Caenorhabditis elegans: one gene and its partner. The protein of the gene in region 1 purifies or fractionates together with the protein of each later gene. This does not show direct contact. Each region holds a gene or a part of one and is shown in the gene's direction. Other genes may lie near its edges.

Region 1 (6,250 bases):
TAGGAAGCGAAAGAAATGATCACAAGAGATGGCGTTTTTATGAATTGTAAAACTATATGAACCCATCTAAATCCTAAATTTTACAATTCGCCTCACTTGAAATTCACTCGATTCTAAATCTTTATCCTATCACTGCACTCACTGCTCTCCTTTGCCATGTGTCAATTGCATGGCAATGTCAAAGATGAAGACTCCTCCTTGTTGTCGTTTTGACAGCTCCTCCTCGTATGTCATTCCTTCTCGTCGACTTGGAGTGTCCGCCAACATCTAAAAATTAAACATTTGAACACTGAACGGTATTATCGATTAGGTCCCAATAATGCTGGAAAATTTTGAACAACCATCAGTGAATTTTTTTTAGTGTTGCTCGTTTTCAAATGTTCCCCGATTGGTGGAATCTCCTAAAATTCTAATGTCAGCATGTACTAAATACAATTCGATGAAAATATATGTTAGAGTTTTTATGTACGAGCACAAGGACCCGGAAAATTATTTTACGAAAAACCACCAAAAATTTACTTTTTCTGGATAATTGGGAAATTTTTTACCAATAAATTGGAAAAATAAAAAGAAAACATACATCTTGCTTTTTTCGGAGCCAAGGATGAATCATTCTGCCATATCTGGACCCATTCTTCTCTGCGATCAATTTGTTCGAATTCGACATACTGATCAATGCTGAAAAAAATATATAAAAAAGAATATCAAATGTTCACGACGAAACACGATAAAAACAATAAATAGATACAAATAATCGATGAATGAAATGGAATTGCTGAGGGAGGAGAAGGAGGAATAAGCGACGGGACAGCGTCCAAAAATCGATATTACCTAGGAAAGACAAAAATTCGTAGTGGCCATTTACAGAATTATCTCCTGGCAATATCCGGTCAGGATACCGAACAATCGTCAAGACATAAAGGAAACTAGAAAACAACTATCACATGAGCAGAATAAACTTAAATTTCGAAATATTTCATAATTCTGGAACGGTTTTATTCGATAATACCTAGCTGAATTTGCACGAATACAGATCGATCCACTGATTAGCGCATATAAAACACGAACATCCAAATTGTGCTATTGAGAAATTGAAAATCCGAGAATATAAAAATTAGCAATAGCACTCTAGAAAAACGTAATTTTCTCCCGGGACCCGTTGCAAATCTTGGCAAACCTATGATTTTCTGGTTCAAAATAAGTTAAATTACTTAAAAAATCACAAAAACGTTAGAGTTTTTCGGCGAAATCGAAAAATGAACAGTGTTTTTCAGAAAACAAGGAAAAATGGTGTTAGTGATGCAAAAAAGGATTTTCACTCAATGTTCAATGTCAAAAATACATGTGAGCTGAAAAGCACGTGATAATGCAACACTTACGCTTGAAAAATACAGAAAATCGATAAAATTTAACTGAAAATCGGCTGAAAATGGGTAGGTGACTCAGAAAAAAAGCTTTGCCTGCCGCGACGCGACACGCAGCGCGTCCGCTTGAGCGCGCTTGTGTCGTCCAGGTTTCACATTAAAACTGGATTTTTGTGAAGCTTTTCACCGGAATTTTTTATTTTATGACAGTGAAAAATCAAATAATGTGTAATTTTTTGGGGAACTCTGGAAATTTATTCAGATTTTTAGAGAATTAAACTCAAATGCGATGTCGGTGTCGAGTCGAGGCGCGGCTTCCCCAGCACATCGGACCGCGCCAACCAAATGGCTCTTCACCAAAGAGGAGGTGCGAAAATTAGAATTAAAACTCAATAATTAATATTTTGAATTTTTAAGATGAAAAAGACAGCGAGCATTCAAGAAGGAATGAGCAGAGAAGAAGAACTAGCCTCCCGACAAATGGCCGCCGCGTTCATCCAAGAAATGATAGATGGATTGAACAATGTTAAAGATCCAAAAATGAAAATGTAACTTTTACAACGAAAACTTTATCAAAAAATGTTCTTGAAAATGCTTTTTCAGCGGTCACACGGGTCTTTGCGTTGCACATACACATATGCATCGCTTTTATTATTTGCATAGCTTCAAAAAGTATGATTATAGAGTAAGACCTTTATCCGTAAATTGAAAAAATTTTTAAAAATCCATTTCAGGACGTAGGTGCTGCTTGTGTATTTTTAGCGGGTAAAAGTCAGGAGTGTCCAAGAAAATTATCACATGTGATCAGTGTATGGCGGGAGCGAAAGGATAGAAAACAATTGACGACGGAAACTGTGAGTATAGAAATTAAGGTTTTTAAAGATTTTTTCCCCTATTTGTATTTCTAAAAACACTAGAAAGCACAATTGCAATACAAATTTCACGGGTCAAACTTTAGAAACCCGATTTCGTGATTTTTCAGGCTAGGAATGAAGCAGCCCAAATTATTGTTCTTCTGGAGAGCATGATTCTACAGACAATCGGTAAGAACTTTATCAGATTACTTTTAAATATAAAAATTTCAGCATTCGATCTCAACGTTCATCTTCCTCATATTTATGTTCTGGATATCATGAAAAAAGTTGATAAAAGTAAATTGTTAATTTTGAAAAGAAAACAAATAACTGAACATTATTTTCAGAAGAGCATTATCGACCTTTGACATCTTGCGCCTACTATTTTGCCACAGACGTGTATGTTTTCAAAATCATAAATTCAAATGTAATAATTTTTAAATTTCAGAATAGCTGTAACAGACTGGTCACTTCGATATTCTGCAGCGTCAATGTCTATTGTAATTATTCATTTAATGGCAGCCTATGCCAATGTCCGGGTGAGATTTAGAAAAAAATGGTAGTAAAATTGCTTAGAGAAAGATTTCCAAAAATTTTTGAAAAGTAAAATAATCATTAACAATTAATCTAAATTTCAGATAGAGCGATTATTTGCCGATTTCATCAATGAAGATTCACCGTGGTATGCGAAATTTGACGAAACAATGACGAACGAGAAGCTGAGAGGTTCGTAAAATTCGAATTTAACAAAAAAAAACGACATTTAAAGTGCATCAAATTTTGATTTATGGATGCTCGAAATTTAATCAATTTTTTAGTGAGAAGGTTTTTGAGCTGTAAAAATAAATCCTGAATGTTTTTGAAATAAAATACATTTTAAAGTTTTTTTTTAAGTATAAAGTTTCGTTAAAAAAAATAGAATTTACGGTGGAGTATCGTGAATTTTGCTTGAAATTGCCAGAATAGGCTTAAATTTAAAAAAAAAATCATTTAGAGCGTACTCAGGAGCAGTTTTAAAAGTTCGATTTTTGGTTTTTTTTAAAGCGAAATCCCTATTTAAGCAAGACAACATGTTATTAAAATATTTATGAAAAATGGTTTTTTTTTCAGAAATGGAAGTAGATTTCCTTGTAACATATCGGAATTCCTGTCAATTTCACCATGCTTCCAAATTCAGTAAGTTACTTTTAAAAAAATTAATTTTAAGTCTTGATGCATTCCAATTAAAGTTTCAGACTTCCGTGAACATCGTCCTATGCTGGAGAATCCAGACGTACGGAAATTAGTAAGTTGTTTTAAGAAATATCGAGGAAAATGCAAAAAAACGTATTCAGGATCGTACGAGAGATGCCAGAAGTCATAGTCCAATGGTTCATCATGTACCTGATTCTACAGTAAATGTACGACCGAGAGCATACGTTCCGAGAGATGAATTGACAGTTGAAAGGTTAGATTTGTTTTGAAATAAGTACAGCCAGCTAAGAATATTAAAAATAAAACAATTTTGTTTAATTTTTCCAGATTAAACAAAGAACGAGGTGTGGAAGAAGAACGTCGGAAACGAGAACGAGATCGAATGGCTGGAAAACTTGACAGTTCAACGAGGTTCGGCTTTCATATTAAAACGGGTCTTAAAAATTCTCCAATGAAAACCATACAGTATATTTTACTAAAACTAGTATTGCATGCAAGACTTTTTCATTGGTCATTTTGAAGTTTAGAATCTCGTTTCACCTTTTAAAATTTAAAATTTTACGTTACCATATTTTTATGTCAATTGTTTTTTAAAAAATCGAAAATTAATGAAAACTGTTTGAAAATGTTTTAGAACAAATAAAGTATCACAGAATATTATTAATTAAAAATGTTTTTCAAAGTATATTATACTTATTAGTATAATATCAACAATTTACAAAAAAAAAAGTTCAGATTGTGAATAATTACATTTAAAAATAACTGTTAATTGAATTTTCAGTAGTGAAAAGCGTGCTCGAATAGATCCACTTGCCAACAATTTCGTATCTTCATCATCGTCATCAAATGGAAAATTGGCCCCACCTCCAATACCTCCACAGCTTAATTTTCCGCCACCACCAATCGTGTCATCTGGATATAATCACAAAAATCAGATTAATCGAAAGAATCATGAGAATAATCATACAAATTCTTCGGTTTCGCCAGCGTTTGTGCCCAGGTACACATTTCATTAGAGCAATATTATTTTTTAAAAAACGGATACAATAATAGGTTTAAAAAATACGTTGTATCCTAGACAGCTTTAAAAAATCACTGTTTTCTAGATTCTTGGCATTTCCTGGGAAAGCTAGAAAATGCTTAAGTTAGAAGATTTATTTTTCAAAAGTCTAACTTTTCGTAATTTCAAATTTAAAATTTTGTTCGAGATCCATTTGTTTCGAATTAAAAAATTATTTTAATTATCATACCATACTTTATTTATTTATATTTATTCATCAGGCAACAATCATACTTAAAATTTTTAAAAACCTAACTGAGTTTTATTAACCTTCAGAAAATATTGATTCTTTGCCACAAATTTTTTAGATTCGAATGAGCTGGTGGAGAATGTAACATTTTATTTTGAAATAAAAATGTATACATTTCTTTAGAAATACCTAAAATTAATTTTAGTGCTCGAACATTCGACGTGGCTCCAATGCTTACACCACCAACTGCTCCAAAGCTCCAAAGTGCTGATAATTCAGATATGGATTTGGAAGATGGTGAACTAGAATAATTATTTTTAGTTCGTATTTTTATTAGTTGTATCTCCTTTCTTATCCAAAAATCTAGCTACAGATGTTTATTTTTATCTATTTTTGGCTCAATATTTGAATATCAATCCACAAAATCTCTGCCTTGCCCCCATTTACCGTTTCTTTCTTTGCTAATTTATTTGATCTGTTCATTTTTATTTCCTTTTGTTGTTTACTTTCTAAAATATGTTTTTGAAAAGATTTAGCTTATGAAACCCCGATTCCCTAGCATTTCAATGTATTCTTTTTACGCCCATCGTTAAGCACAAAATTCCTCGAAAGTTACAAAAACCCACCGGTTTCAATAGTTTTTCTCACTTGAGAAATTCAATTTTTCATCATCATCATCATCCCTTGTTGATTCTTTCCTCCTCTCACTGTGAGACTTGTCTGTGAAATTTTTTTCTCATTTGCATGGCATTTGTTTTGTTTCCGAGTTATATCAATTGAAACTGCAATTTTTCTGTTCATCTTCATTCTGTACTGTAGCATTATCGAAATTTAGTACATAATGAATGGTTTTTAAAACAATTGAATTGAAAATTAATTACCAATAAATGGGAGAATCTCATCAAGATTTGGGGATAAAATAAAAAAAAGAGATCTTTAGAAAAAAAAAACGATGATTTTAAGCAGAATACGAGAGAATTAAAAATATAATAAGAATAATGACAATAAGGAAAAATGGATTGGAAGGTTGAGAAGCTGTATTATACCAAGGAATTGGATAATAATTTTGTCTTGAATATGGATTATATCCATTTGGATTGTATGTTTGCATTTGTTGCTGATTTATTGGAAGTTTCGAAGCTTCTCGAGCAAATATCTGTAATTAAAATAAGGAAATTGAAAAATTCAAACTTGGGGTTATAGCAAGTGAAAATCAAATTCTTATTTTCAGTAGTTTTTAACAGTACATTTTTCGAATTCCATTTAAGACACTACATACATAACCATTCTCATACTGAAAAAATAACGTACCTGAGGATTATTACAACTTCCCCCTTTACAACAACAAAAGTAACATGGTCCATTTGGTGTATTGACCATACTACAACCTTGTTGATTCACAAATCCAGCACCTTCACCACAAACTGATCCACCGACCTAAAATAGTTTTACGGTAGCTCACTTTTCCGACTAAAAGCTTAGTGCTCACATTTATGGGAAAATTGGATGCACACCCAAAGTTTGCTTGCTGAGTTGCTGGTTGGTAGCTGTAGAAAAATAAATTTGGATTTTAAAGTGATCTACCAAA
Region 2 (4,839 bases), 4.4 Mb from region 1:
TCATTTAAGGATTATTGTAGTTTTCGCTACGAGATACTTTGCGCGCCAAATATGTTGTGAAATACGCATTCTCAGAATTTTATGTTCCCGTAATACCACAATGACCGAATATCATAATAAAAAAATTCAAAAACAATTTCTAGATTTTATATGATTTTTTGAAAATTGAAAAAATCTCAGTTTTCACCTAATTATATTTGAATTACCGCCAATTGAACTCGTTCGTTGGAGCGCGCTTGCATTATTTTCATTAATTAATTTTATTAATTTTCATTATTTCACTGATTTTCTTCATTTTTGAGGTTTTTTTTATCGGGAAATGAAAGAAATATACAAGAAAAATGCAAAATGTTTATTAAAAACTGAAATTAGTATTTCTCGGAGTTTTAGGCATTTTCAGTTACTTTTTAATAAAGATTTTGCATTTTTCTTGTATATTTCTTTCATTTTCCGATTAAAAAACCCCAAAAATGAAGAAAATCAGTGAAATAATGAAAATTAATTCAAATAACTAATGAAAATAATGCAAGCGCGCTCCAACCAACGAGTTCAATTGGCGGTAATTCAAATATAATTAGGTGAAAACTGAGATTTTTTCAATTTTCAAAAAATCATATAACATCTAGACAATTTTTTTGAATTTTTTTATCATGATATTCGGTCATTGTGTCCCCATAGGCATGTTTTAAAGCAATTTCCACCTTTAAATAAAATCGAGAAAAAATGGCGTCAAAAGACATATGTAAAAGCTGTTTCTCTTTGTATATTCACACAGAATATAGCCCGATTTTGGAGGTGAAAAACCGGTTTTTTTGTATTCTTTACGCCACATAAAGTGATATGGAAGAGAAAATCGACATATTTATGTACTTGGAGTACGAGTACATTGGAGAAAAAGGGTGAACTACTGGAAAATCTGGGAAATTTCAGAAAAAAATTCCGAAAAATCTTTTTTGCTGAAAAAAAAATTTGTTCGAAATTTGGGAAATACTGGAAAATTTTCATCAAAATTAAAGCGATTTTTAACGTTTTTGCTTGGGAGATACTATTTGTAATTTTAATGTTTGGTGAGGACAACAGAAATGACCTTCAGCGTACGGAAAACGATTAAAAGACACATTTGAATCGAAAATAGCGTGAAAAACATGAAAATATCGGAAAAATAGCTTTAAAATTGGATTTGAAAGCAAAAAATGTATCAAAAATCGAGAAAAATGCTTGAAAAAGTTGAAAAACTCAAACAAAAAATCAAAAAAGGTTTTTTTAAAAATCTGTGAGTATCGCAACGAAAGCACAACTTGAGGCATGCGCCTTTAAACCAACCGTAACCAAATTCGGAGGCAAAAAAAGATTTCTCGCTGTTTTTTCAGTTTTAAAATCACTTTTCACGTTTCTTTTCGCAGTAATTCGTTTGCAAAACATCTGAAAAAATTTTATTTTATAAGAAATTATATAAAAATCGCTATAAATTGAGTTTTTGCCCCCAAATTCAGCACGGAGCACTTCTCAATTAAATATAATTTTATTTTTTAACATTGAAAGCTTTCATAAAATTGAGCTTTGTTTGTAAATAATCAGTGAAAAAACACAGAAATCTTCAAAAAATAAAGAAAAAGTTTTTAAAAATCTGTGAGTCCCGCAACGAAAATAAAACTTTAGGCATGCGCCTTTAAACCAACCGTAACCAAATTCGGCGGCAAAAATGGATTTCTCGCCGTTTTTTCAGTTTTACAATCACTTTTTAGGTTTCTTTTTGCAGTATTTCGTTTCCCAAACAATTAAAAATCAAATTTTCTTTTCCAGATGGCTCAAACAAAGCCGATTGCCGAGCAAATGGCTGCACTCAACAACTCAGATGACACGTCGTTCGCTGCCGATCGATCGAACAGTCTTCTGAATGCGACGTGCCCGGCGAGAATTCAAAATTCAGTAGATCAACGGAAAATCAATCGATCATTCAATGATTCGCTGTCGTCCGGATATAGTGGAAAATGGCTTCGTCCAAAGCGTGAAGCGCTCAAGATCACTCCATTGGCTCAGATTGACGAGGCGCCGGCAACTAAAAGACATAGCTCGGCGAAGGATAAGGTTTTGATTTAAAAAAAAAACTGAAAAATATGCAAAATCGATTTTTTTTCCAGCACACAGAATACAAAACGCGACTTTGTGATGCGTTCCGCCGTGAAGGATACTGCCCGTACAACGACAATTGCACATATGCTCACGGACAAGATGAGCTGAGAGTTCCGGTGTGTCTGAAGCCTGGAAATCTTTGGAAAATTTTTTTTTCAGAGACGCCGCCAAGAGTATTATTCCCGAGATCCACCACGTGAGCGCCGTGATTCTCGTTCTAGACGAGACGACGTGGATACAACAATCAATCGATCGAGTTCTTCAGCATCGAAGCATCATGATGAGGTGCTGATCGGATGGAAATTCGCTTTTTTGACAAATTTTCGCAGTTTTTTCGCTAAATTTCATTTAAAATATGCTTATTAACACATTATATCACTATTTAGACGAATATCTTGTAGAAATGTTGGGTTTTGTTCGAATTTTCTCTACTTTTTGAGTTGCTTCACGAAGAAATTGTGTTCTCTTTCATTGTACAGAAGAATCTATGTTTTACAAGGGAAAAAAGTAAGATGGTGCAACATTTTCTCGTGAATCGACTCTAAAAGTAGAGAATTATCGAACAAAACCAACATTTCTACAAGATATTCGCCTAAGTACTGATATTATGTGATAATAAATGAAATTTAGCGAGAAAATACTGCGAAAACGCCTTTTCAGACCCAAAACCGCCTAAATTTCTCGAATTTTCAGGGCTAAATCATTTTAAAACTCCAATTTCGCTCAATTTTCCGTGTCGAGACGGTCCGAAGTTGATTTTCTGGAATTATCATCCTTGTTTTGCATCTTTTAGTAGTTTATCTCAAATTTTTCCCGCCTGCAGACAGATTATGTGAGATAAACTACCAAAATGTGCATTAAATTATGATAATTCCAAAAAAAGTCAACTTTCGGCCGATGCGGCACGAAAAATTGCCAAAATTCGAGGTTTTTAGCTAAAATTATCAAAACTTTGGACAAAAATCATCCATTGCGCAGCGAATTTTTGGGGTTATACGTTCAAAATGTTTATTTTAAAATGAAATTTAACGAGAAAATATAATATACTGCGAAAACGGCTTCTCAGACCAAAAATCGCCCAAAACTCGAATTTTCAGGGCTAAATTGGCTAAAAGTCTTCATTTTTGGCAAGTTCTCCGTGTGGCGACGGAAAAAAAGCCAATTTCTGGCAAAATTGAAGATTTTCAGCTAAAATTAACCCTGTTTTTCAAAATTTTGAACAAAAATCGTCAATTTCAGCGAATTTTTGAGGTTTTACGTTGCAAAAATCCTTATTTTTAAGTGAAATTTAGGGAAAATATTACAATATTTTACTTCCAGAATCGGAGACCCAGCAACAACCACGGAAGCTCGAATCGTCGTCAGATTTGTCACAATTTCGAGAGAGGAAACTGCAGATATGGTCCAAGGTTCTAGGAAATCTGGAATTTTTATTAAAAATAAATAAAATAAATTTTCCTTTCAGATGCCGCTTCATTCACGTCGAACAAATGCAACATTTCAATGCGAATGCGACGGTTTACGCGCCACCTTCTTCCGATTGTCCGCCGCCGATTGCCTACTACCATCATCATCCACAACATCAGCAACAATTCCTGCCATTTCCAATGCCATATTTCTTGGCTCCACCGCCGCAAGCTCAACAAGGAGCTCCTTTTCCAGTGCAATATATTCCACAGCAACATGATTTGATGAATAGCCAGCCAATGTATGCACCAATGGCACCGACATACTACTATCAACCAATTAATTCGAATGGCATGCCCATGATGGATGTGACTATTGATCCGAATGCCACGGGCGGTGCGTTTGAAGTGTTCCCCGATGGATTCTTCTCTCAGCCACCACCAACTATTATTTCCTAATTTTGCCGTATTTTCCATATTTTGTTTTGTATATTTATCCACTCACCCCCTCTCTTTGTCCTGTGAATGAACTTGTGCCAAAAAAGCCAAAAATAATTTACTTTTTTTAAAGACATATTAAAACTTGAAAACTTGGAACAATACGGTGCGAAAGCGAAACAGAGACAGAAAAATGAACAAAGAGATCCGTGAAAAGTGAACGATGATTTAGGCTTCTTGTTGGGCGGCGTGGATGAGAGTGATGTTGTCTCCTTTGAGAAGAATTCTGCCGATCTTGTTGCGTCCCTTCGTCTTCATGTTCACCTCCTCGGCTTCGTCGAACACGACATTCATGAACTCGTCGAATCCGATGATGTAGCCCTCGAGACGGTGGGTGACATCCTCGTACAACCAGATTTGGACCCGAGTGCGGTTTTGGAGATATCTGAAATTTGGGAAATTGTTTTCTACTGATTAGTGAAAAAATATTACCTGAAGATGAGGTTCACAGGCTGAACCATCACTTTGTTGAGCTTTCTCGTCGACATTTTTGCGGGATGATCTGTAAAAATCAATATATTTTTTGAAAGACACAAATTTTTAAGATAAATATCAAGAAAACTCGATTTTAGCAGCTATTTAAGCTCAAAAACTACAATTTATGGCTTTAAAACATAATTTTTCACATTTTACATAAATTTCAACGAAAAAAAATGCCAAAAAACTTCAAATTTGAGCAGAAATCGGCTATTTTCTCGACAAAAATAATTTCGAAAATTCGTTCAAAAAAGATGAGTACGCAAGCACCGTGACGCACAGTTGCGGACTTTGTAAACCGTACCCCTGCATAAAAAGGCGGAAT

What was found.
Region 2: the proteins of cit-1.1 (region 1) and pie-1 purify together in Caenorhabditis elegans (affinity purification with western blotting, with the first as the bait; one study listed by BioGRID). This does not show direct contact.

What each region holds. Positions count from the first base shown.
Region 1 is NC_003281.10:8,005,206-8,011,455, reverse strand, and holds cit-1.1 (Cyclin-T1.1), read left to right. Parts: upstream 1-1,634; 5' UTR 1,635-1,653; coding exon 1,654-1,731; intron 1,732-1,781; coding exon 1,782-1,912; intron 1,913-1,967; coding exon 1,968-2,049; intron 2,050-2,098; coding exon 2,099-2,218; intron 2,219-2,346; coding exon 2,347-2,407; intron 2,408-2,449; coding exon 2,450-2,515; intron 2,516-2,565; coding exon 2,566-2,617; intron 2,618-2,666; coding exon 2,667-2,757; intron 2,758-2,856; coding exon 2,857-2,944; intron 2,945-3,328; coding exon 3,329-3,394; intron 3,395-3,453; coding exon 3,454-3,503; intron 3,504-3,552; coding exon 3,553-3,665; intron 3,666-3,739; coding exon 3,740-3,823; intron 3,824-4,193; coding exon 4,194-4,412; intron 4,413-4,867; coding exon 4,868-4,973; 3' UTR 4,974-5,523; downstream 5,524-6,250. Other genes in the region: cit-1.2 (Cyclin-T1.2), read right to left, coding at 143-267, 581-667; C06G4.6 (uncharacterized protein), read right to left, coding at 5,621-5,818, 5,974-6,099, 6,152-6,209. UniProt on the Caenorhabditis elegans protein: Regulatory subunit of the cyclin-dependent kinase pair (CDK9/cyclin T) complex, also called positive transcription elongation factor B (P-TEFb), which is proposed to facilitate the transition from abortive to production elongation by phosphorylating the CTD (carboxy-terminal domain) of the large subunit of RNA polymerase II (RNAP II).
Region 2 is NC_003281.10:12,425,090-12,429,928, forward strand, and holds pie-1 (Pharynx and intestine in excess protein 1), read left to right. Parts: upstream 1-1,803; coding exon 1,804-2,088; intron 2,089-2,141; coding exon 2,142-2,249; intron 2,250-2,292; coding exon 2,293-2,418; intron 2,419-3,453; coding exon 3,454-3,542; intron 3,543-3,598; coding exon 3,599-3,998; 3' UTR 3,999-4,106; downstream 4,107-4,839. Other genes in the region: snr-6 (putative small nuclear ribonucleoprotein E), read right to left, coding at 4,206-4,422, 4,470-4,525. UniProt on the Caenorhabditis elegans protein: Maternally provided pie-1 is required for germline cell fate determination. Functions as a repressor of RNA polymerase II-dependent gene expression in the developing germline. Required for expression of nos-2 in P4 germline blastomere cells.